Linked DNA regions of Rattus norvegicus. The protein of the gene in region 1 binds, or shares a complex with, the protein of each later gene. Links are inferred from orthologs where the notes say so. Each region holds a gene or a part of one and is shown in the gene's direction. Other genes may lie near its edges.

Evidence for each region.
Region 2: the proteins of Alb (region 1) and Fcgrt are in contact, whole or in part, in a crystal structure (PDB 6QIO), measured with the Homo sapiens proteins. The link is inferred for Rattus norvegicus from reciprocal best matches to the Homo sapiens genes ALB and FCGRT. Residues at the interface, in NP_000468.1 of Homo sapiens: Arg105, Glu106, Thr107, Tyr108, Gly109, Glu110, Asp113, Asn133, Asn135, Gln441, Ser443, Pro445, Thr446, Glu449, Leu484, Leu487, His488, Thr491, Pro492, Val493, Tyr521, Val522, Pro523, Lys524, Thr530, Phe531, Thr532, Phe533, His534, Asp536; in NP_001129491.1 of Homo sapiens: Arg65, Glu67, Glu69, Gly72, Ala73, Val75, Trp76, Gln79, Val80, Ser81, Trp82, Trp84, Glu85, Lys86, Thr89, Arg92, Asn172, Lys173, Leu175, Thr176, Leu179, Phe180, His184, Glu188, Arg192, Gly195, Asn196, Trp199, Lys200, Glu201.

The regions. Positions count from the first base shown.
Region 1 is NC_086032.1:17,895,038-17,901,560, reverse strand, and holds part of Alb (albumin precursor), read left to right. Parts: intron 1-197; coding exon 198-295; intron 296-1,814; coding exon 1,815-1,944; intron 1,945-2,930; coding exon 2,931-3,145; intron 3,146-3,891; coding exon 3,892-4,024; intron 4,025-5,094; coding exon 5,095-5,192; intron 5,193-6,337; coding exon 6,338-6,476; intron 6,477-6,523. UniProt on the Homo sapiens protein: Binds water, Ca(2+), Na(+), K(+), fatty acids, hormones, bilirubin and drugs. Its main function is the regulation of the colloidal osmotic pressure of blood. Major zinc transporter in plasma, typically binds about 80% of all plasma zinc.
Region 2 is NC_086019.1:104,708,370-104,714,702, reverse strand, and holds the end of Fcgrt (IgG receptor FcRn large subunit p51 precursor), read left to right. Parts: intron 1-1,821; coding exon 1,822-2,091; intron 2,092-3,133; coding exon 3,134-3,250; intron 3,251-3,439; coding exon 3,440-3,549; 3' UTR 3,550-3,796; downstream 3,797-6,333. Other genes in the region: Rcn3 (reticulocalbin-3 precursor), read left to right, coding at 5,012-5,253. UniProt on the Homo sapiens protein: Cell surface receptor that transfers passive humoral immunity from the mother to the newborn. Binds to the Fc region of monomeric immunoglobulin gamma and mediates its selective uptake from milk.

The DNA.
Region 1 (6,523 bases):
TACCTAGCATGCACACGATTTCAACTCCTCCCCACCCAAACCAATTGTTTTGGCACAGGGCTGTGGGGAACTTTGAAAGGGGCCTCTCTCTCTCTCTCTCTCTCTCTCTCTCTCTCTCTCTCTCTCTGTGTGTGTGTGTGTGTGTGTGTGTGTAAAAATAACCTTTCCAATTTTTTCAACTGGATTTCTTTTGGTAGCTTGATGCCGTGAAAGAGAAAGCACTGGTCGCAGCTGTCCGTCAGAGGATGAAGTGCTCCAGTATGCAGAGATTTGGAGAGAGAGCCTTCAAAGCCTGGTATATGAATTTTCTTTAATATCACAGTCCACATCTTTCTGATGATAGCTGTCCAATCCAAAAGGCTGTGCCTTTATAAGGCACTTTATGAAAAGACGATAGAGGTGAAATCGGATTAATAGTAGTAAGTTGACATTTTTGTCTCATGCTTTATTTTAAATTATCAAAGAATTTAGAAGACTTTTGTTTTTTTCCTAAAAGAAGACAGGTATTTAAAATCTCATTTGCTTATAAAGACTGGGACTCATTTTCAAAGCTTAAGGAATGTAGTCAAGGTGATTAATTTACTTAAGTTGTGTTCTCCCAGGCTAAAAGTGACTGTTTTATGTCCTGATAATTGAATTTAGCCATCAAAGAAGCTGGAGTTATTACTTTGAATTTTATTACAACTCCAACTGTGTTTTTTTTTTTTAACTTTTTTTTTTTTTTCTCTGAGCTAGGGACTGAACCCAGGGCCTTGCGCTTGCTGGGCAAGTGCTCTACCACTGAGCTAAATCCCCAACCCCCCAACTGTGTTCTTAATCTCATGTTTCTGTTTGATACTCTCTTTGCTTCTATATGCTGTAGCTGAGCCTGGGGTGTATTCTTTAATGTAGAAGGCAAGAAAGACATGCTTGCCTTTCTAGCGCCTCACCTGTTAGTCGTTAATGAATCAACGTAATAGAAAAGAACGAGGAGATGACGTCGTCGTGTGGGTTCTCTGGAAACCGTCAGCACAATTATCCTCACGAAGTCATTCCTACTATCCGAATTATCACAGCCAACCAAATCAACACACGAGGCAACTTCAGTATCAAACAATACACTGTTGTGCAGGCCGTGACTGGCTCTTGCAAAGGAGTCTCTTTATTGGAGTTAAGGAACTGAAAATGATCTTGGAATGAGAGTCTTGGCTTGTGCCATAGAACTTAGAGGCTGTCTGCCGGAACAGTTTCTTGGCGGGAGGATGCATGGTTAGAACTCTCTAAGCTCTCTGGAAGTTAAGAATTTTGTTTCCCCCATCAGGAACTTTAGAATTCAGAGAACTATGTCTTGTGAGGAAAGATGACGAATCTTCAGTTCCAGATGAGAAAATGCTTTCATGCCATTATGTAACTTAATCTCCCAGATCCTTTGATTCTGCCCGTTGTAACACTCTAAAAGCTAAGCAGGTTGCTGGTGGTCACAATGCTAAGACCGGGTCAAGCCAAAAAACGGAAGTCAGATAAGGCCTTAACACTTGGCTGATGCCCCTTTGGGGAAAATCTCTGTTTTTCATTTAATGAGGCCTTACCTTTCCATGGACCGTCCCCATTCTTTTAGTAGATAGATCCACTAAAGAAAACCATAACTATCATGCCAGGCTAGCATTGCAAGAACTAGTGGATTTTTATAATTTGATCACTTAAGTCGGGTTTTAACTTCAAAACCAGTTTATAACAAATTTCGAACTTGTTATAAGTGGCGCCTTTTTTACTGCTTTCCTCCAAATACACTATGATAATAATTCCTTGATGGGGTTTCTTTTTTCCTTTTTCAGGGCAGTAGCTCGTATGAGCCAGCGATTCCCCAATGCTGAGTTCGCAGAAATCACCAAATTGGCAACAGACCTCACCAAAATCAACAAGGAGTGCTGTCACGGCGACCTGTTGGAATGCGCGGATGACAGGGTAAAGAGGGGGATTGCAGGCTCAGTCAGTGAATGCAAGTGTTTGGCTTCACCCGAGATCACTGATGGCTGCTGGTGTGACCGTTAATCTGCCAAGCTCTCCTTGGTTGGTGCCACTTTCCAGAAAAAAACAAAAACAAAAACAAAAACAAAACAGAAAACAGAAACAACAGCAAAAGGTTTTCTGAATTATTAAATGATCCAAAACTCCTTTCTTCAGTCACACTTTGAGAAAGGTGTTAATGAACGGGAACTAGTCACAGATGTAGTTTTTTTTTCTTTTTTTTAAAGATGTTTAAGATTTTGGGAAGAGAAACGGGGCTAGGGATCTCACAGAGTGGAGAGGCTCTTAAAAATGTGTTTATCCTTCGGTAGTCTTTCCTCTAATTAACTGTGTACGTTAAGCACATAAAAAAATTCACTGTGATCTCATTTTCTCCCACCTCGTCCTGCTAGCTCCCTCCCCTCCCCTCTCCAAAGACTAAAAATATAACCAAACATCAGAATGCTTTTCTGCCATAGAACCTTCTGGAGAACTCAAGACAGATGTTTTGTGTGTTATGAGCAAGGCCTGTAATTGTGCTCATTACTGGTTGTTTAATTATACTTCATATTTTAATGAGTTATTTAGTTTCAAAATGACTACCCTTAACTTGGGAGGAATTTAAAAAAAAAAAAAAGCACTAACTTTTATAGAAAAAGTGACCTGATTTATCACAGTCTCTCTGACATAAACTTAATAAATAATTAAAACAAATTCATTTAACTAAATACATACCTTGTTTCTGAACAGTCATTCTCAAATCCCATTGGGATGTTCTGGTCATAGTACTGAAGCACTTCGTGGCTGAGAATGTGTTTCTAGAAGCCACTTTGGTTGCGAATGGCTCAGAGCAGGATGGATAGGCTATCCCCGCCCAACAGTGGTGCGGGGATAAAATGTAGCCAAGAGAATTTCTCTGAAACCTTTGCCTTCCGTTCTCACAGGCGGAACTTGCCAAGTACATGTGTGAGAACCAGGCCACTATCTCCAGCAAACTGCAGGCTTGCTGTGATAAGCCAGTGCTGCAGAAATCCCAGTGTCTCGCTGAGATAGAACATGACAACATTCCTGCCGATCTGCCCTCAATAGCTGCTGACTTTGTTGAGGATAAGGAAGTGTGTAAGAACTATGCTGAGGCCAAGGATGTCTTCCTGGGCACGTGAGTAGATGCCTTTCTCTTCGTGGCTTTGGCGAAGCTGTGCGGTGTAGGAGGCTACACCAGGCTCCTTGTCCAGGTGTTAGCAGGTGTTAGCCTTTAAAGTTTCCTTGAAAAGCATTTTAAGGAACTCAAAGCATTTTTTTTTAATGAAATCATAACGCATTCAGCATAAACTCAATGTTCTTTACTTCATAGGACTATTTCTGGAAATATTCTATGAGTATATAAATTGTATGTGCCACTTAATCATTCTTATGGGCATTTTTCTTGAAATTCTCATGTATAGGAATATATTACCTATGTATCTACTTACCTATCGAGCCATATCTATTCATTTCTGGGATGACAGCAAGGATATCTATCTATCCCTCTGTATGTATATATGCCCACATGACACTTAGTTCTTTCATACTTGGTTGAGAAGACCGGAATGTCACAGTGTGGCAAGGCACGATACAACGAATAACAAATGACAATATGTTTTCAGGAAGTGCAATCCTTATTTCCATCCTACTAACGGAGAGGTTGATGCACTCTGATAGTAAGTTGCCCAGGCAGAATACTAAAATAGCTTGCAGTGGTGGAGCTGAACCTGGGAAGGGTTCTCTCTGGGTCCCACGTCTTTGCTGCTTAGTCCTTGCTGCGAGCCAACACAGGGTGGCTGGGATGAGAATCTCTATTGAGATTGGTCAGGGACTCTATGACACGCCCCCTTATTCAGCTCAGCCTATGTTCGCCTCAATTAGGTTTTTGTATGAATATTCAAGAAGGCACCCCGATTACTCCGTGTCCCTGCTGCTGAGACTTGCTAAGAAATATGAAGCCACACTGGAGAAGTGCTGTGCTGAAGGCGATCCTCCTGCCTGCTACGGCACAGTGGTAGGTTTCCGCGAGCCAGGAACACTCACGGTGCTGGTGGGGCTTTCTGTCAGGAGAAAAGAAGAGATGAATTCATGATCATAGATACGTAGGTCAATCCTGATGTTTTCTTGAGATAGAGGCAAGTTCGAGCTCTTAAAGTTTCCTTCAACATTGCAGGATAAACTCTTTGGGTAAAATATAAGGAAACTAGAATGACCACTCTAGGGAAGGAAGGTTCAAAGAGAGGGAGGGATCTTTGCTTACATAAAACCTTTGTTGTAGCCTTCCCTTTTTCAGACGCCTGAGAATAAAATTAGAGAATAAGTTCAATTGCCAATTAAAAGTGATTGATTTAACTTAGGCTTGAAAAGACCATTAACCTGTCCCACCATACTGTCAACTATTAGAATTAATATCTCAAAGGAATTCGAGAACTCTACTTCTTTAAATGACATTTTGGAGAAGGTTTTGGAGTAGTATTATGAGAAGTTGTGTTTGCAGGTTTGTTGTGGGTGGGGATGTCGGGACTCCTGTCAGCACATATTGGTTTCTGAATCATCTGGGACCAGAAGGGAGTCAGACTTTACAAAGAAACTGCCCGAATACCAGACACCACTCTGTGATTTAGGCTGGGGTGGATGCTCATATCTCAGAGACCTCAAGATCCAACTGGAGAGATTGCTATAAGTGAAGGTCACCATCTAGGGGACTTCTGTGCACTAGGTGCTGTTTTGATTTCATCCACTTAGTGGGTTAAGAGACCAGTGCTGGTGCTGAGGACAGTTAGTGCTGTAGGGTTGTAGACAGGATCAGTCTGAAACTTGGATGTGGGAAGAAAAATCACACAACAAGAAAATACAGCAGGTGGCCTGCTTCAAACGCAGCCATTAAATCCCAGAGCCTGAGGATTCTCATTTGATTTGTGCCAAAAGACCTTGCAAATAAAAGGGACAATTTAAATGCAAGATGGGAAATGTGGCAAAAAGGTCTCCTGGCTTGTCTTTGTATAGAGGGACAGCAGTAGTACAAAGTGACCTACTTTGGGCTCTCAGGAAGGGGCCTGTAAACACAATTCTTTTATCTTGCAGCTTGCAGAATTTCAGCCTCTTGTAGAAGAACCTAAGAACTTGGTCAAAACTAACTGTGAGCTTTACGAGAAGCTTGGAGAGTATGGATTCCAAAACGCGTGAGTAGTTTTTTTCCTTGATCAACTTGTAATTATTTAAAACATTATATAGGCCATCCAGCATATGGATTTCACAATGAAAACACACTATATATAATCCATATCTATCAAAAAATTCTGGGAACTTCGTTGGAGGGATGAGGAGGACTGTATCCCTGTGTAATATAAACACTGGTCTCTTGGGAGTAGACGTTTTGAGGACTCAGCAAATCTTGATACATTGGAAGTGGAAGCGTCCTTCAAGGGTTAGGTGGAGTTTATGAGCAAACAGAACAATACTTAGTAGAAAAGGGAGAAGCATGCTTAGGCAGCAGAAACTCAAGAACTGATAGAAATGCTGAACACAAAAACATAACAAAAGATTTAGATAATATGGAAATATTACACGAATAAAGAGTTCATTTGGGAAAACATTGGAATTTGGGGGTTACATCTAAACCTATGTAGTTGTGTCCTTGTCTTCCTATGGAATTTCACTCCTAGAGATAGAGACTGAGTGGCCTTCCACAGTGGTATCCCAATTCCATAGGGCTTTATCTATGGAAGTAAAGTGAGCATGCTGGAAGAGACCCGTGATTCCTTGTTCATTTCATATACAGTATTAGCATTCTTTTAACTCTGGAGTTTGGAGAAGGCACTTCTATACCTGAATACGCTGACCTTTATTGCTGATGGTACACTGTTAAATGCAAGATGTTATCAATTGCTAGATAGCGTGTCAGGCAGAAATTATTTTCTTTCATTTAATTGGTGCATGCTTTCTATTAAATCATCTCTCTTTTCACCACTTCCTTTGAGCTTGTCACAATGCTGGTATGTGTACGTTTGTGACAGAGTCTATTTAAAGCAGCATGGAGTACATTAATACCATCGGGCTAGAGAAACAATACTTCCTTGTGATTCTAGTACAGATTTAAGACTAAGATCTTACGCTCCAAGTAGTTTTTGCATCTACTTGGTTTCTTAGGACAAGGTCTTCCTCCAGTACTATGCTATCACTCCAGAAGTAAAGATACTTTGATTAGTGGGGGAAAAAAATCTTAATTGGTTTGGGCGAATCTTCTTGAAATATATTACATCAGGCCAGTTTTCTGTCTGGATTAAACCATGTAAGTTATTGTAAGTAATAACTTTTTGTTACACAGCATTCTGGTTCGATACACCCAGAAAGCACCTCAGGTGTCGACCCCAACTCTCGTGGAGGCAGCAAGAAACCTGGGAAGAGTGGGCACCAAGTGTTGTACCCTTCCTGAAGCTCAGAGACTGCCCTGTGTGGAAGACTATGTGAGTCTTTTAAACAACATCAAAGTTAACAGGGGACAGGCTGTTGT
Region 2 (6,333 bases), on another chromosome or scaffold:
GTAATCCTGCTGCCCTGGCAGCCAGCTTACAGTTTCTGGGGCTAAGGTGCTTCCTTTTTTTTTTTTTTTTTCTTTTTTTTTCTGTTAAGCAGAAGCCAAGGCTGGGCTGACTCTTAGCACCCTCAGGGTCAGAACTGGAAAACAGGAGAACCATGGGTGTCTCTCAGCACTACCCACAGGAAGTCATCCTCACTGGAAAACAATAACAAGCACAAGGCAGGACACAGAACTGCTGACTGAGGTCCGGTCCTCTGTGGTTGAGAGCCGGTGCCGCAGGTCTTTCTTAGATGCCAGTGAGGCCCCTCTTTCAGGGAAGCTGCCTAGCTTCCTCTTCCTAAGAAATTGTCAGCTTATTTTCTGCTGAGGATCAGAGCAGAACCAAGATTGTGAGACCCACCCTGCATGGAGGGAACGCCTCTGCCGTGCACACAGCCTTGCTGGGGTCTCAGATCCCCATGGATTCCATTTTGTTTAGGGGTTTATTGCTGTTGATTCAGGATCTTGTGTAGCCCAGGCTGGCCCCAAACTTCCTATTTCACCAAAGGTAACCTTGAACTCTTCATCCTCTGACCTCCAGTCTGCAGTGCTGAGATCACAGGGGTTCTCCAGGGTGCACAGTCAATGTCAGTGTGCTTGGGATTGAACCCAGGATTTCACCCAGGTCCAGACAAGCACTCTGCAAACTAAGCCACATCCCCAGCCACAATGTATTTATTTATTTGTGTCTTTCTTTTCTTGGTCTCACTATGTCACTATGTAGCCTTGGCTTGCCTGGAATTGATACGTAGAACAGGTCGGCCTGGTATTCACAGAGATTCAGGTGCTGGGATCATTTGTATGGGCCTGCACCATCACAGCAGCTAGGACAGCCATGTCTCTTCGCTCTGTGTATACACTAATGTGTTCCGAGGGCCAAGAACAGGTCATGCACTAGAGAGGTTTACTACATAAACCAGTATCCGGGGGCACATGGCTGCTGTCTCTTAGCTAGCTCTTAGCAAGTAAAGGCAGGAAGATAAGGAAGTCAAAGTCATGTGTATCTATATAACGGGTTCAAGGCTTGGCCGGACTAAGAGTGAAATTCAGTTGGGAAACAAACAAATACATGTGCCTGGCAAGATACACACTGAGCACAGTGTTTGCTGTGCAGGAAGACCTGGGTTCTGATCCTCAGTCCCCTTGCAAAGGCTGGGTGTACTGCTGCATGTCTATAGCTGCAGGGATGGGTCTGGCAGAGATGGGACCTCACCAGCCGCTTAGTGTGGCTGAAAGGGTGAACCCCAGGTTCAGTGAGAGACTCCATCTCAATAAATAAGTGGAGGGTGGGAGAGGTGACTCAGTGGTTAGGAGCACTTGCTGTTCTTGCAGAAGACCTGGATTTGATTCCTAGCTCCCATATGGTGGTTCACCACCACCCATAACTCCAGTTCCAGGGGATCTGATGTCTTCATCTGGCCTCCATGGGCACTGCCTGCATGTGGTGCACAGACACACAGGCCAAAAATCACTCAGACACACAAAGTGAAAAAGAAAGGGGAAAAAATTTGAAGAGCAAGAGAGGAAGGTGCCTGCCATTGACCTCTGTCCTTGATCCACAAATATACCACACATACGCCAAAATCAGGGGGCGTGGTAGCGGGGTCAGCAGGATGGGGTGTCTGTCACTCTGCGAAGCCCTCTGGGTCAGCACAGTGCTGATAATAGGGAAGTGGGGTCTGTTCATGACAAGTTTCACACCAAGGCTTGGCAGGGGTGGGATCAGTGGGTGAGGTCATAGCCTACCCTAACTGCTGGCCCACCCCATTCCCTGTGTCCCCACAGAGCCGCCATCTATGCGCCTGAAGGCCCGTCCTGGCAACTCTGGCTCCTCAGTACTGACCTGTGCTGCTTTCTCCTTCTACCCGCCGGAGCTCAAGTTTCGATTCCTGCGCAATGGGCTAGCCTCAGGCTCTGGGAATTGCAGCACTGGTCCCAATGGTGATGGATCTTTCCATGCATGGTCATTGCTAGAGGTCAAACGTGGAGATGAACACCATTACCAATGTCAAGTGGAGCATGAGGGGCTGGCCCAGCCTCTCACTGTGGACCTAGGTGAGGCTGTCCCTCTGGCCTCAGTGTCCTCTTTGTTTCTGCTCCTAGCTTCTGATTCTCCATTAACCCTGTGGCCAGTCCCCCTGAGTCTGACCACAAGTCTTGCTACTACTGGTCTTCATGGTGTTTGACCATTCACTTTTGCTCCTGACAGTTCTTGCCATGGCTTTGGTGAAGCACCAACTTTGCCATTTGTCCTGTGACTGCTCCTCCTCAATTAGGTCCTCATTGAGCTCCGTCACAGTGTGGCTGTGTTCTCTCAATATGGCCCTCTTCCTCCTCCTCCTCTTCCTCCTCCTCCTCCTCCTCTGCTTCTTCTCCTCCTCCTCTTCTTCTTCTTCAGATTTATATCTAAGAGTATGCATATATGTTTAATTTCCTTACGTTCTTTATGTGAGAAGGGAAGGCAGAGGTGAGCCTGTGTCGTGGGATACTTGAGAAGACAGAGGACAACTTGGGGATCAAACTCACTAGGCTTTAGGGCAAATGCCTTAACTCATTGAGCCTTCTCGCCAGCCTAGATTTATAGAGGGTTGGGCTCAGGTTGGAACCAAACTGATCCTCTGCAAGAGCAGCAAGTGCTCTTAACATTAACAGCTCTAGCCATCTCTCCAGCACAGTGGCAGGTTCTTTTTTTTCCGGAGCTGGGGACTGAACCCAGGGCCTTGCGCTTCCTAGGCAAGCGCTCTACCACTGAGCTAAATCCCCAACCCGGCAGGTTCTTTTTTTTTTTTTTTTTCTCTTTTTCTTTCTTTTTGTTTTTGAGACAGGGTTTCTCCGTATAGTTTTGGCTGTCCTAGAACTTGCGATGTAGACAAGCCTGGCCTCTAACCCACACATCTGTGTGCCTCGGCCTCCCAAATCCTGGGATTAAGAGGTGTGCCACCACTGTGTAGCTGGTTCTTACATTCAGGGTGGAAACACATGAGGCCCAGGGCCTTTTCTCTGCATACACCCACCCTCAGATATATGCTTCTGGGGCTCTCTGAGAGGAGTCACCGACTCCTTTCTTCCCTGTCTTCATGAGACTTTCTGGCTGCAGATTCGCCCGCCAGATCTTCTGTGCCTGTGGTCGGAATCATTCTTGGTTTATTGCTGGTGGTAGTGGCCATCGCAGGGGGTGTGCTGCTATGGAACAGGATGCGAAGTGGGCTGCCAGGTGCGTGCAGGGTTGGGGAGGGGTGGGGTGGGAAGTAGAGGAGAGAAAGAGGGGAGGGAGAGACAGAGACAGCCCCTGACCACCCTGGGAAAAGAGATGGGGACAGACACCATAGTGTGGCCCTCACAGGTGTGTTGGGTGGGTGAGACCTTAGATACATTTGTTGACCTCTATTCCTCTCTCTCTTAGCCCCATGGCTTTCTCTCAGTGGTGATGACTCTGGCGACCTATTGCCTGGTGGGAACTTGCCCCCGGAGGCTGAACCTCAAGGTGTAAATGCCTTTCCGGCCACTTCCTGATGCCAACCCAGGCCCCATACCCATTGCAGCCTGTGGGGCTGTGTGACCTCCTGAACTGTCTCTGAGCCTCCCGAGGGAGCCCTGGGCTGGATGTCCTCCTCGTGGATCCCTTCTTTTGTGGCCTGCTTCAGTTTCCCCTCTTAATGTCAATGGCTATTTCCATCTCCACATAAATTTGGGCCCAAATCTGTGTGTGCATCGTTATTCTCAGGTTTCAGGCAGCCGGAATAAATTGAACAAGTTTGAGAAAGATCTTACAGACTCCTCCTGATTGCTGTGGTACAGCCTGGCCATTTTATAGACCGAGTTGTGTATTTTTAGTCATAAATGTATGTGATACCTAAACCATACCAGGCATCATTTCTCCTCTCCCTCTCCGTCCCTCTCCCCTCTCCCCTCCCCCTTCCCTCCCTCTCCCTCAAGACAGGGTCTTCCTATGTAGTCCTGGCTGGCTGCAAACTCATAGAGATCCACCTGCTTCTGCCTCCTAAGTGTTGGTAGCATGAGCCACCAAACCCGATCTCCTCTTTTCTGAAACGGATCTGAGAAACGGAAAGAGTTAAAAAAAACAAAACAAGGGGTTGGGGATTTAGCTCAGTGGTAGAAGCGCAAGGCCCTGGGTTCGGTCCCCAGCTCCGAAAAAAAGAAAAGAAAAACAAAACAAAACAAAACAAAACAACAGAAAAAGAAAAAAACAAAACAAAACAAAACCCACATTCTCTTAATTCTCTGGGGCCAGAGACTCTGGAGTGGTCGTGCAGTCAGCCCGTATGTCTGCTGGGAGTTGTAGTTCAACATCGGCCTTCTCCGCTGGAGCTCAGGCTTGTGGACGTGGCAAGGGGGTCCGGGGCACTCTTCTTCTCCTCCTCGCTCATTGGCTCCGCCCCTGAGGCTCTTCTGCGCAGTCATTGGTCAGAGGGCGGTGGCCTCTGGACTGCCTGTGGCAGAGCTTAACTGGAAGCAGGCCAAGTTGGGCATCTTTGCGTGAAAGCAGAGCTCAGCGTGGGGAGCGAACCCAGGCCAGGTAACAGAGATGTGGTGGGGCGAGGGTGGGGTGGGTGGAAAGGTGGAGATCTAGCTATGGAGGGGGCTTCAGCGTGAGGCTCACGGTCCAGACTCCCCAGCCACATAGAGGAGCCTGCATGATGCTTTTGGCCACCACCATGCCCTCAACTTTGTGTGGGATGTGTGCCACGTCTCTAACTGAAATACCCCCTTTCTGCTCTGAGAGTCCTCTGAGGCTCGGATTTCATCCCCAGAGATGGTTTTACCTTCAGATTCTCGATTCTTTTTGCCGACTTTTCTTGAGCCCCAAACTGTTTGCAGCCTGCGCGGATATCTGCACTGCCTCAGGCAGCCTCCCCCCACGCCCCTTCAAAGTTCTCTCGCATTATCTCTGGTTTAGATTTTTTCCCCCAAATCTTACCCCTGACCCATGTTCCTCGCTTCTCCCCAGGAACCGATGATGTGGCGATGGACGCTTATGTTGCTTCTCTTACTGCTGAGGCACTGGGCCCTGGGGAAGCCATCTCCTGATGCAGGACCTCATGGCCAGGATAGGGTGCATCATGGAACCCCCCTGAGTGAGGCCCCCCACGATGACGCCCACGGGAATTTCCAGTACGACCATGAGGCGTTCCTGGGACGAGACGTGGCCAAGGAATTTGACCAACTCACCCCAGAAGAAAGCCAGGCCCGACTTGGGTAGGAGGATGCGGGGAGCCGTGGAGAAGTGGGAGGTGGGGAGAAATGAGCTCACTGAGAAGACTTAGAGGCAGAAAACCGGACAGAACTGTGGTACTCACCTCCTGGGAAAAGGTAGAGTTAAACCTGAGGCTGTGGGGGACCAGTGTCACCAACACCTGGGTTCTCTCTCTACTTCAATCCACCCTATGCCTGTCTGGGCATCCCTGTTCTCTCTTCTAAACGTGTCACCGACTCTCGGTAGAGACTGAAGACATGGGATTTGAGGAAGATGCCAAGCTCAGAGGCCAGGTTGAACTGGGATGAATGACGCCAGCTGGACAGGATTGCCCTGTTTCTAGGTGACAGACACTGTCAGCATGGGCCCGGGACAAGAAGGCCACTCACGTATATATGCTTGATTATTTTCGTTATTATTAGTACTTTGAGATAGAATTTCATTTGTGGTACTAGCTGGTCTGGAATTCACGCTGTAGACTGGACTGGTCCAGAATTCAGAAGTCTGCCTGCCTCTGCCTCCCGAGTGCTGGGATTAAAGGAGTGCATCTTTAATGTGGTGACGATTTCTAATTTTTTTTTTCTTTTTTCCGGAGCTGGGAACCGAACCCAGGGCCTTGCGCTTGCTAAGCAAGCGCTCTACCACTGAGCTATATCCCCAACCTGACAATTTCTAATTTTAAACTGGGCAAATGGTAGCAGGGTGGAGCTGGAGAGGGAGGAGTCCAAAATTGATCTGCCCACCTAGGGAAGTGGGCAGAGCTTGAGTCCACTGGCAGACTGGGCTTGAAAGAGGGGCGGGCCCTGAGATAGTGAGAGGTGGAGTTTCAAGAGACAGTAGCATTCTCCTATTGGGGTGCAGTTAGAGGCCGGGCTCACTGTTCACACTTCAGCTCAGTCCAGCGAAGGTCTATGTAACGCTTAGGGGACCGGGCTAGAGTAGAGGGTGGGACCTTGTTTGTGCCACGTGCTAATACAAGTCTCTAGGACTCCGGTAGGGGACAGGCTAGGTGAAGATGGCAGGCTTTTAGAAGGGCCTGGCACTGAGATTAACAGGTGCCTCTCAGTTCACCTAGCATCTTT